Linked DNA regions of Callithrix jacchus. The protein of the gene in region 2 interacts with the protein of the main gene of each other region in a pairwise test. Links are inferred from orthologs where the notes say so. Each region holds a gene or a part of one and is shown on either strand. Other genes may lie near its edges.

Region 1 (4,121 bases), on a different chromosome or scaffold from region 2:
AGATGAGATTAATACCCAGAATGATAGTCCTATTCAATATGTGTATCACATAAATTGCACGTTTCTCTTTTGCTATATATAAACTCATACGATAACTGCTTCTTTATTTTCTGATTTTTGGGAGCTTGGCTCTTTTTGTATTTTTCCTTCCTGGAGGACCTAAAGTGGTATGGAAGTTTGATAAAACAGTTGACAGAAAAGATGAGATAATGCAAGTACAGACATTCTCGAACGCTCTGGCAGTTGCTGGAATGATGGGATCTGGGTTCTACAAGATTCCTCCCCTCCCATCCTCCGCCACACACACACGTCGAAAGGCTTATATGGCCACGGAGTCTCAGGTTGGTTCTAGGAGTCCTCAATTCATGGCGAAGTTACCTCTTCTCCTTCATGGGGAGCCCAACATGCTTCAAGTCAACCTGAGGCCGCCTCTCCGGCCCGCGCTCATTCCAAGGGAAACCGCCCGCGGAGGAACCTGGCGCCAGGTCTTTGACACCTGCGACGCGCCCCGCCTGGCGCCAGGGGGCGCGGAAACGCGTCCGCCCCCAGGCCTCAAGCCGGGTTCGCCCCGCCCCTGCCGGCCACACCCCCCTCCCCGCCCTCCGTCTGTGAGGATCCGCGGCTCCCGGCCCCGGCCCGGCTCCCGGCCCCGGCCCCGCTCCCGGCGCAGGCGCAGGCGCAGTCCCGTGTTCCCTCAGCAGCTGCCGGCGCCTTGAGCCCGCCGCCACGGAGTGTAGCTGGAAGGGCTCGCCGCCCTCCTCCGCCTCTCGCTGCTTCGGGGCGCGCTCTCTGCGGCTCTGCGAGCGCCCCTGAGCGCCGGCCGCAGCCGCGGTGCTTTAGTCAGGTGAGTGCGGCCACGGGAGGGAGAGGCCCGGGGCGTGGAGCACCGCCCCACTCGGCGCCAGCGCACCCGCCTACCGCGAGTCGGCCGGGAGAGGCGGCCGCGGCAGGTGCAGGTGCCGGCGCCGGGGAGGGCGCGGGCGGCGGGGGTTCGGCGGGATGCCCCGGTTCGGCGAGCGCGCTGTCCGCCTGGGCACTCGGGCTCTGGGCCCTTGGGGGCGGCGTGGGGGGGGCTCGGCGCCCCGGGTCAGCCGGCCACCCCCTAGTGGGCGTCGTTCGGCGGCTCCTCCCCCGGGCTCGGGCGCGTTACTCATTAACTGCGCGGTCCCGCGTCCCCGGGGTGGGGAACCAGAGCCGGACGGGTTACCTGGCTGCTGGCAGGCGGGCGCGCGGGGGCGGCCGAGAGAAGAAGGCCAGGGTCGCAGAGTGGGTGAAGAGAGTTCCCGAGCAAGTCGGAAGCCGCTCACAACACCGGACACCGCGCGGCAGGGCTGTGGACGAGGCTGTAGCTGTGGACCTGTGGTGGTTTCGTGCCCCAGTCTTAGGAAACGACGCGCAAGGCACCGTGCCGAGGCGTAGAGGTCACCCTCGGGAGGTTTCGGTGAAAACTGGTGGGAAATTACAGGCAGGTGCCCGGAGTCGCGCCCGAGGATCTCCGTGCAGCCCGACTAGTGTTCCGGGGAGTTGAGACGAGCTGCACTGGTGGGATTGCACCGGCTCTGCCCTCCCAGCGTTGACTATTCGCCCGGCCGTCCGGGAAAGCGCGAGCTTCCTGGCTCCAGAAGTGATGATGCTGCTGGGTAGAAGCCGCAGCAAGTGAAGAGTTGCCAGTTGTTATGGGATTAAAAAAGAGATCTCTGCAATGGCTAAGGGGTAAGGTCTTGAAAGACAGGAGCGCTGAGTTAGTACTGATTCCCGAGAGGAAATTTAGTTTCGTGGAATTGTTGCCTGTTCGGAGGCTACCTGTTATACACTCTCCTGCTACCCACCCCCACCTTTCAGTGTCGGGTTAACAGCCTTGTAGTCTCTTACAGTGGAATGATTGCGTAATTGGAGGGGCCCATAAGAGGATTACAACAAAACTGGTCCATTGTAAATCAGCTGAAAGACCTAGTTCTTGTTCATTATCGTTTTTCTCATTTTGTTGTTCATGAAGGTTTTTTTTAAATGGTGAATGACAAATCAAGGAGAAAAGAGGCAGAATAGGGTTGTAGACCAATCATAGTAAATATTTGATACTGTTAAATATTTCACCAGTTTTATGGGGCCTTGTTCTGTTACCATTTGTTATTTATTTACTGGTACTGTGCATTTCTATAGGACTTTTCGTGTTTGGGCAGACATTGTATTCCAGATACAGTTTATGTGATCTAATGCTAAAGCCCTTGTGGAATTTATAGAAATAAACAGGCAATTAAGTAGTCTATTTTTTTAATGATTAGAGGAAAAGCCTTTGCATTTTTTTCCATTAATGTTGTGAACCAAGGTGTTTAATATAACTCTTCTTGTGTGTTTGGCAAACAGCTCATCTGTGGTACTGAATACTTGTAACCTTTCACCAGGATGGCTATTTGATGTTTAGCTGCTTTGTGGGATTTCTGAATAGATCCTATTATACTTTTTGAATTAGTGTAGTTAACCATATGCTTCCTTTAATATATTTTATCTTTTATTTTCCCTAAACTCTCATCTTCCTCCAACACACACACACATCCTCTACAAGTAATTTTTAAAATGGAAAGGTTCTTAGAAATCTTTCACCCCCTCATTTTTTAAACATGGCAGGAAAAAAACCTTGTCGATTACAGTAGTTTTATATGCATTATGGTAGTTAGTATACTTTATTCTCCTCAGCAGGATGCAGTGAACAAATTAGTGAGCTGGGTGAATGAAAAATTATTTAAGGTTCAGCTCCCTCACTTACTATGCATAAACCTTGAGTAAATCATTTAACCTCTTTGAGCTTATTTTCTCCATTTGTCAATGGAGATACTATTAGATTGAAATCGCTAATATTCTGCTGTTTATGTTTCAACTAATATGAACTTCCTAATGGTGAGATGAGGATTTAATAAGATACTCCATTAGAGATGAGGGGAAGCGGAGAAGGAACAAACATGAGCTTGATTGTGTGCAAGGCAATGTGTGTGCTTGTTTTCGGTACCTTGATTCTTTAGTCCTCTGGACATTCCTGTGATATAGGTGGTTTATCAAATTTTACAAATCAGGAAATGGAGGCTTAGAAAGTTATAATAATTTGGCTGGACGCCGTGGCTCACACCGGTAATCCCAACATTTTGGGAGGCTGAGGTGGTGGATCACGAGGTCAGGAGTTCGAGACCAGCTTGACTAAAACGGTGAAACTGTGTCTCTACTAAAAATACGAAAATTAGCCTATCATGGTGTTGTGTACCTGTAATCCCAGCTACTTAGGAGGCTGAGGCAGGAGAATTGCTTGAACCTGGGAGGCGGAGGTTGCAGTGAGCCCAGATGGTGCCACTGTACTCCAGCCTGGGTGACAGAGTGAGACTCAGTCAACAAAAGAAAGTTGCAGTAATTTGTCTGTAGTTAACTTAGTTGTCAGTGGTCATAGAGATGGCCAGTGACAGAGCCACTATTAAAAACTGTATCTGACTGCCCAAAGTGGAACTTGGTGCTCTTGTTTCTTACGTGGTATGTACTTTCTGTTAAAGAGCTTTGTAACTATAAGGAGGCACACAGATCACAAGTGTTACCATTTGTATATTTGGTTTAAAAATACTCAAGTTTTCCGATGACAGTGATAGCAGCATTGCTACTACAGTTATGTTTCAGTCTAGTGCTTATCATGCCAAGTCCTGGTCTAAGCATTATACTAACTCATTTACTCTCACAGTGAGCCAGGAGATAATACTTCATCCTTGTTTTATAGTTGAGAAAATTGAGATGCTGAGACCTTATGTAGTTTGCCCAAGGTCACATAGTTAATTAAGTGACAGGTCTAGATTAGATGTCAGACAGTTTGTCTTCCATGTCTGTGCTCTTAACCACTACACTCTGTCATTTCTTCATGGCTTAAGTGGTAATGCGGAAGAATTGTGTGCTCATAATCACTACATTATCACTTGTTTATGTATAGCTTATAATGCTGAGGAACTGTTTTTAATTTAGCTTTTATGAGATATGTAATATTAATGTAACATGTAATTCTCATGTGTCACCAGAGATTTTTTAAATCAAATATTCATTGAGCATCTACTCTGCAAGTCACAGTAGAGGTTAAAGGAAACTCTTTATAAGGA
Region 2 (3,226 bases):
CGCAGCTGGAGCAGAATTACCCTCATTTTTAGGAATCTAGTGACGCCTCTTGCCTCAGGGAAATGTTTCTTTGATGGGGAGTTTGAGATTTCTTTTTCTTGTTTATGCTTTATTTGTGGTAATGAAAGAGCGAATGACTGAACAGCCATGGCAGGGCAGATCCATAGGCGAAGCCGCGGCAGAGCGGCCTCGGGGTCTGGGGGCTGCAGCGGTTTCCTTGGCGCAGCAAGCGTCTCTGAGCACTTACCAGGCGTGGCCGTTTCTTAGGTGTGAGAGGGGCTGTGGCTTTTGTGCAGCGACTATGTTGGTGTTAGGGGTGGTGTGGAGATTGTTAATCTTGTATAAAGCGATTCAATAAATTGTTTCAAGGTTTCCAAAACATTTTTTTACTCTTTTCTTTCTACCCTGTGCAAGTGGTGCTTCTGTAGGAGCTGGTATGTATGGAATATCCATTTTGGCTGAAAGACAAGAGGGAGTGGGGGAAATAAGCCTTGCATGCAAAAGAAGAAACGAGCTGACCATCCAGTAGACTCCAGCCACCAGGTTTATTTTCATGCTGTAAATAAAGGTCCCCATTGTTCCCATTTTCTGTTATACATGAGATACAGAGAACCAGAAATGTGCTTGGTGAATAATCAACTGTTTTGTATACCTAAATACCAACGAGATAGTAAGCGAGACTTGTAAAGCACTGAAACCAGGGCTAACAGCAACACAATCCACTATCAGAGGATTTCAGTGCCAGAACTGTGAAGTGTTCCCTATCGCTGCTGGGACAGTCCGGCTGACAGTTCCTGCCCACTCTAGCACCGAGGGCTGGACACTTGTGATTTCTCTTTGCCTTCCCTGGCATGGAGCCCAGATCTGTTTCATGAGCAGAGTAACTACCAAGGAGGCTTCTCTGCTGGAAAGTTGGTTTTAAGTCAGAAATCTGGAGAGACATCATGGCGGGCAGCAGCCCCAATGGGCCTAGCCCTTTGTAGGGCAGTGTCACTGTCTGGTGTGCCAGTGCCCATGCTGCCTTGAGTGGGCTTGGCTGCTGTGGTCGTCTTGTCCTCTAGTGGTTTGCAGGTTGTGTGCAGCTATCACGAGGAGTTTGTTGCTGGGAGTGTACGGGAAAGGGGAGGAAAAAAGGGTATCGGATTTGTCCAGTCACTGGAGGATGAAGTGGGTCACTCAGAGTGAATGGTGGTTGGGATGAGAGTTGCCTGTCTTCAGCCAGTGCCTGTCCCATATTTGGGCTAGACTTTGACAACCTGGCAGCGAGGGTGTTTGTTTATAAAATGCTTGGCCTGCACAGGGCCAGGGAGAAGACGACACCAAGGAGGCCACTGCGTCGTAAGAGAGGGCCAGCATCTGCCGCTAAGAAGAGTTGCAAGGGCTGTGCCTACTTCTGCCCAGACACCAAGACCGCCAGCTCCTGGATGGACATATCCTTGTTGACATAACGGTCGTACTGAGCAGGGGTCAACCTGCCGCTCTGCAGGGCCTCTTCGATGGAGAACTTCTTGCCAGATTTCCTGTCGTGTATCACTGAGGACTCCCCGTTGGGCCCCTTCACTGAGATCTCCTCCCAGTCACACTCCTGGCTTTTGAGTTTCACAAGCATGCTCCAGTCAATGAGCCCGGCGCGGTGGGCTTCCTCCGGGGACAGCTCGCGGCCTGTGTCGGGGTGGATGACCACGATGGAGCGCCGCAGGTGGTTCTCCCGCTGCTCCCGCTTGACGGCCACGGAGCCCAGGCGCCTCTGCAGCTCGTCGATCTCGAGGTCTTTGTCCTTGGAGAGCCTCTTGAGGTCATCCAGTTCCCTCTCCAGGGACCACAGTCTAGAGTCGTGATTGGTCCCAGAGTCTGCCACGGTCATGTTCCGCAGGTCTTGTGTTTCCGTCGCTGCCATTTCAATTTCCGATTGCAGCCTTCGGGTCTCTAGCTGCAGGTTTTGCCGCTCTAGTTGTAATTTGTGGTTCTCTTCCCTTAGAAAGTCTAGTTCCTTGGACGACTTGGAGTTACGGAATTCCAGCTCCGAAAGCCGGGCTTCCAGCCGGCTCACTTCGGCGTCCAGCTCACGCTTGCTGCGGCTCTCCTCCTCCAGGCTGCTCTTGAGCCTCTGGATCTCTTGCTCAGTGTTGCCCTTCTCCACCTGGACGCTCTCGGAAAACACCACCTTCTCCTTGACTTCCGCCTTCTCCAGGGCGGCCAGCTTCCTCCGCAGGGTCTCGAGCTCACCCTCCAAGAGTTGCCGCCGGTGCTGTTCTTCCTCCAGCTGCAGTCGGAGCAGGGCATGCTCGCGGGCCTGCTGCGGGTCCTGCTGCAGCACTACCTTCTGCTTGCGGGTCACCTTCTCAAGGGCCTCAGCTTCTTCCTGCTCCAGCACTGCCAGCCGCTGCTGCAGCCGCTGCACCTCGCGTTCAGCCTCCCTGCGGGCCTGCCGCTCTCGCTCCAACTCCTCCAGCTGCCGCTCAAGTTCGGTGCGCCGGCGCTGTAGCCGCCGCAGCTCCGCACGCAGCTTGTCGATCTGCCGCAGCTCCACGTCGATGCTCTCGGCGAAGGAGCTCACCTCGGCCCTCAGGCCAGGCTCCTCCTCGTACCTGACTACTTCCTGCTGCACCACTCTTTCCTTCACCTGTGAGAGCTCCTCCTCCTTCCGGGCAATCTGCTCTTCCTGGGAAGCCCTCTCCCTCTCCAGGTCCACTTGTCTCTTCTGCTCCTCTGAGAGCTTTGCCCTCAGAGACTCCACCTCCTCCTTCGTTTGAGGGTCTTCCTGAAATTGGAGGATCTCCTGGACCACCTCTTTGGTCTGGACCTGGGGTTTGGTGTCTTTCAGGGCCTGGATTTCCTGCTTCAGCTGGTAGATCTCTAAATCACACCTCTCTATCAGTCTGGTCTTATCCACGATCTCTTCCCTGAGCCGCTGAAGCTCCTTCTCCATCTCGGGGTCAGTCTTGTACTTAATGACTTCCTTAGTCACCTCTTTGACTTCCACCTGGGGGCCCCGCCTCCTGAGGGCCTCCAGCTCACTCTGGTAGCTCCGGAGCTGCTCCTCAGCCCCCCGGTACTTTCGCTCCTGCTCCACAAGCTCCAGGCGGAGGTTGGCCACTTCACTCTCTGCTTTGGGGTCTGGCCGCACGATCTCACGCACCTTCTCCTGCACCACCACTTTGGCATTCTCCTCCTCCAAGGCCCATATCTTCCGGAGCAGCTCGGTCTTTTCCCTCTGGCTGGCACG
Region 3 (3,647 bases), on a different chromosome or scaffold from region 2:
AATTTCTGAGCCGGGCGCGGCGGCTGACACCTATAATCCCAGCACTTTGGGAGGCCGAGGCGGGTGGATCACGAGGTCAAGAGATCGAGACCATCCTGGTCAACATGGTGAAACCCCGTCTCTACTAAAGATACAAAAAATTAGCTGCGCACGGTGGCGCGTGCCTGTAATCCCAGCTACTCAGGAGGCTGAGGCAGGAGAATTGCCTGAACCCATGGGGCGGAGGTTGCGGTGAGCCGAGATCGCGCCATTGCACTCCAGCCTGGGCAACAAGAGCGAAACTCCGTGTCAAAAAAAAAAAAAAAAGAAAGTCGCATCTTTACTCCTGCAGATGGTGGCTCCTCTGGTGACAATTTCAGAATTTGACATGTTTTAAAATCAAAACTAGCAATGGCTAAGAAATAAAAATCAACAACCCAGCCAAACACACCATCCACATACTCCCAATGTGAGAGCAGGAAAATCCTGCGTCCTTTTTTTTTTTGAGACGGAGTTTCGCTCTTGTTACCCAGGCTGGAGTGCAATGGCACGATCTCGGCTCACCGCAACCTCCGCCTCCTGAGTTCAGGCAATTCTCCTGCCTCAGCCTCCCGAGTAGCTGGGATTACAGGCACGCACCACCGTGCCCAGCTAATTTTTGTATTTTTAGTAGAGAAGGGGTTTCACCTTGTTGACCAGGATGGTCTCAATCTCTTGACCTCGTGATCCACCCGCCTCAGCCTCCCTAAGTGCTGGGATTTTAGGCGTGAGCTACTGCGCCTGGGCGAAATCTTGTGTCTTAACTCCCTTCGGGCCATCAGCTCCCTCCCTCCCTACCTCCTCAGTCGCCAGCCCTGCAATCTCTGCATGCCTGTCCTGCCCAGCTGTTAGGACAGCTTCCTTAGGCCCCTGTGCATCCAGGTAGGGTTGGGGCAGGAGAAAGTGGAGACCCACCCAAGACAGGCCTGCTGGATTCTTGGTCTCTTCTCAGGCTTTGTTTGACCCGACACACTTTCCCCAACAACCTGATTTGCATTGACAAATGTCAGTGTTTTTCCTTTGCTACGACCCTCCTGCAGTACGCCGAGCCCTTGATGGTAACAGGCTGTGGGCACATAGCACCCACATCCTCATTTGAAGCCCAGAGAGCTAAAGCACCTCAGCCAGGGCCACACAGCAAGTGGGGCTGAGCCTGGACACCAAGCCAGACCCCTCTGTTTCAAATTCTTCTTCTCTCTTCCTCTTCCTCCTTTCTCCTCCTCTTCCTTCTTCTTCCTCCTTTTCCTTCTCTTTCTCCTTGTATCGCTCTTGTGGCCCAGTCTGGAGTGCAATCTTTGCTTGCTGCAACCTCCACCTGCCGGTTTCAAGTGATTCTCTTGCTTCAGCCTCCTGAGTAGCTGTGATTATTACATTTTTTCATATTTTTGGTAGAGTTGAGGTTTCTCCATGTTGGTCAGGCTAGTCTCGAACTCCTGACCTTAGGTGATCTCCCTGCCTAGAAAGTGGTGACCCCGGTTTTGGGTGGGACAGGCTTAGGAGTGCAGAGGTCATAGGTTGCAGGTGGGATGTGAAGCCTGTGTGGTTACCCATCTTCTCTGAGCTTGTGGGGAAGGGCAGTGCAGCCTTGGGGAGGCTGTAACCCGCCAGAGGAGCTTGGAACTCTGGTGGGTAACAGTGACCCGAGCTGCAAGGCATAGGTCCCCTGGCTCTAGCTAATGCTCTGTTGTCACTGTCCTGAAACGGTCAACGATTTTTGAACAAGGAGACTTGCATTTCAATTTTGTACAGCGGCCCCTTGAATTCTGTCTCAGGTCCTGGTAAGAGCTCCTTGGGAGTTATTATTTATTTTTTGTATAAATGAGGTCTTGCTATGTTGCCTAGGCTGGTCCCCAAATCCTGGCCTCAAGCGATCCTCCGGGCATCCTCATGGGCATCCCAAACACAGGAACGACAGGCGCATACCACCGCACGCCGCCCTGGGAGAGCCTTTGGCGACGACCCGTTCCTTGGTTGTTCGGTGATGGGGGTAGGACAGCACCTGAGGGGCAGGTGCGGAACAGTCCTGTGCTTGTCATTCCAGGCGTCTGAGCTGATCCTGGATGCGGCAGCGGCAGCCTCGGCACCCCCAGAGGAAAGCGAGTGGCCGGAGCCCACCCAGCTCCCGCAGGGTGTGCACACGAGGGCAGAGGCCGAGCCACCCCGCGCCCCTGGCTCGATGGGTGAGTCTGGCTCTTGTGCAGATTAAAGTTTGGAAATGCAGTTTGGGACCTCAACCTAAAGCCGCAGACTTTGTTAATGGGTGGAGTTAGGGGCTTCGGTGGTGAACTCCACACTTCCCCAGAAACCATACAAACCTTCCGTGGGGACTGAGGTCTGGGGCCCCTAGAACCACCATGCACATTCTTCACCCCACAAGAAGGGCCTCTGCCTCCCCACCTGAACGGCAGCCAAGCCAGACAGACTGAGAGTGTTGGAGCAGGGGGTTACCCAGAGGGCCAGCCAGGTAGGAACGAGGGGTCAGTGCTGACGGATCTGCCCCCAAAACATGTGCCCACCTATCTTGAAGGACAGGACGGAGGGCAGAGGGGCCATATTGAGCAGGGGAAGGACCTGGACTTGGCTCAGTCATTGGGGTCCTCCATGCCCCTCAGGCACAAAGGGAGGTGCCAAGGCAGTCCACTCACTACAGGTGACCCGTCTCCCTCACTCTCCACAGGGTCCCGGGCCCGCTTGCCTCTGAAGCCAAGTATCTGGGACGAGCCTGAGGAAATTCTCCCAGGGCCCTCCTCAGACCTGCGGGCAGAAGGGGCTGTGACCTCGGGCCCCAAGGGTCTGAGTGCTCAGAGAATCAGTCCCCGAAAGAAAAACAGGAACACCAACCAGGGCGGCCGCCGGCAGCCATCCCTCAAGCACACCAAAGCTGGCACCCAAGAGGCTGCTACAGGCACCCCGGGAGCGCCGCGTGGGCCCCGAGGGGGGAGGCCTTTCCAGTGTGCCGACTGTGGGATGGTCTTCACCTGGGTCACCCACTTTATCGAGCATCAGAAGACCCATCGCGAAGAGGGGCCCTTTCCGTGCCCTGAGTGTGGCAAGGTCTTCCTGCACAGCTCCGTCCTCGCTGAGCACAGCAAGATCCACCTGCTGGAGCCACCCAAGAAGAAAGGCCCCCGGAGCAAGGGCCCCCGGGAATCCGCCCCACCCAGGGATGGAGCCCAGGATCCGGCGGCCCCTCGCAGCCCCAAGAGGCCCTTCCGATGCAGCGTCTGCGGGAAGTCCTTCCCCTGGATGGTCCACCTCATCGACCACCAGAAGCTCCACACTGTTCATGGCCACATGTGAATGGCCAGCCTCGGGCCTCAGCCACCCAGCCTTGAGTCCCTGGGGGGCACCGATGGGCCCCAGAAGGTGGGGACATCCCCCAGCCCCACCAATCCCTGGCCACCGCTGTTTCACAGAAGATCCTGGACACCTGCTCTGTGGTCTCCACCCAGCATGGGAGGGGGCATCCCAGGGTCTCGGCTGAGAGGCAGCAGTTCCACAGCGTAGCCTGGTCAATCGTGCACACTGTGTTTTGCAAGTGGATTGAAGACGAGTTTCATTAGTGTCTCATTTTTCAGAAGCCTTGTGCAGGTCTCCCTGTGAGTACCTGACCCAGCGGCACGTTCTGC

What was found.
Region 1: the proteins of PPL (region 2) and RAB3IP interact in binary tests that used the Homo sapiens proteins (3 or more experiments, as listed by UniProt). The two-hybrid records come from large-scale screens. The link is inferred for Callithrix jacchus from reciprocal best matches to the Homo sapiens genes PPL and RAB3IP.
Region 3: the proteins of PPL (region 2) and ZSCAN1 interact in binary tests that used the Homo sapiens proteins (3 or more experiments, as listed by UniProt). The two-hybrid records come from large-scale screens. The link is inferred for Callithrix jacchus from reciprocal best matches to the Homo sapiens genes PPL and ZSCAN1.

What each region holds. Positions count from the first base shown.
Region 1 is NC_133510.1:72,312,695-72,316,815, forward strand, and holds the start of RAB3IP (rab-3A-interacting protein), read left to right. Parts: upstream 1-1,177; 5' UTR 1,178-1,702; coding exon 1,703-1,713; intron 1,714-4,121. UniProt on the Homo sapiens protein: Guanine nucleotide exchange factor (GEF) which may activate RAB8A and RAB8B. Promotes the exchange of GDP to GTP, converting inactive GDP-bound Rab proteins into their active GTP-bound form.
Region 2 is NC_133513.1:6,999,094-7,002,319, forward strand, and holds the end of PPL (periplakin), read right to left. Parts: coding exon 1,388-3,226; 3' UTR 527-1,387; downstream 1-526. UniProt on the Homo sapiens protein: Component of the cornified envelope of keratinocytes. May link the cornified envelope to desmosomes and intermediate filaments. May act as a localization signal in PKB/AKT-mediated signaling.
Region 3 is NC_133523.1:50,755,342-50,758,988, forward strand, and holds part of ZSCAN1 (zinc finger and SCAN domain-containing protein 1), read left to right. Parts: intron 1-2,059; coding exon 2,060-2,198; intron 2,199-2,695; coding exon 2,696-3,318; 3' UTR 3,319-3,647. UniProt on the Homo sapiens protein: May be involved in transcriptional regulation.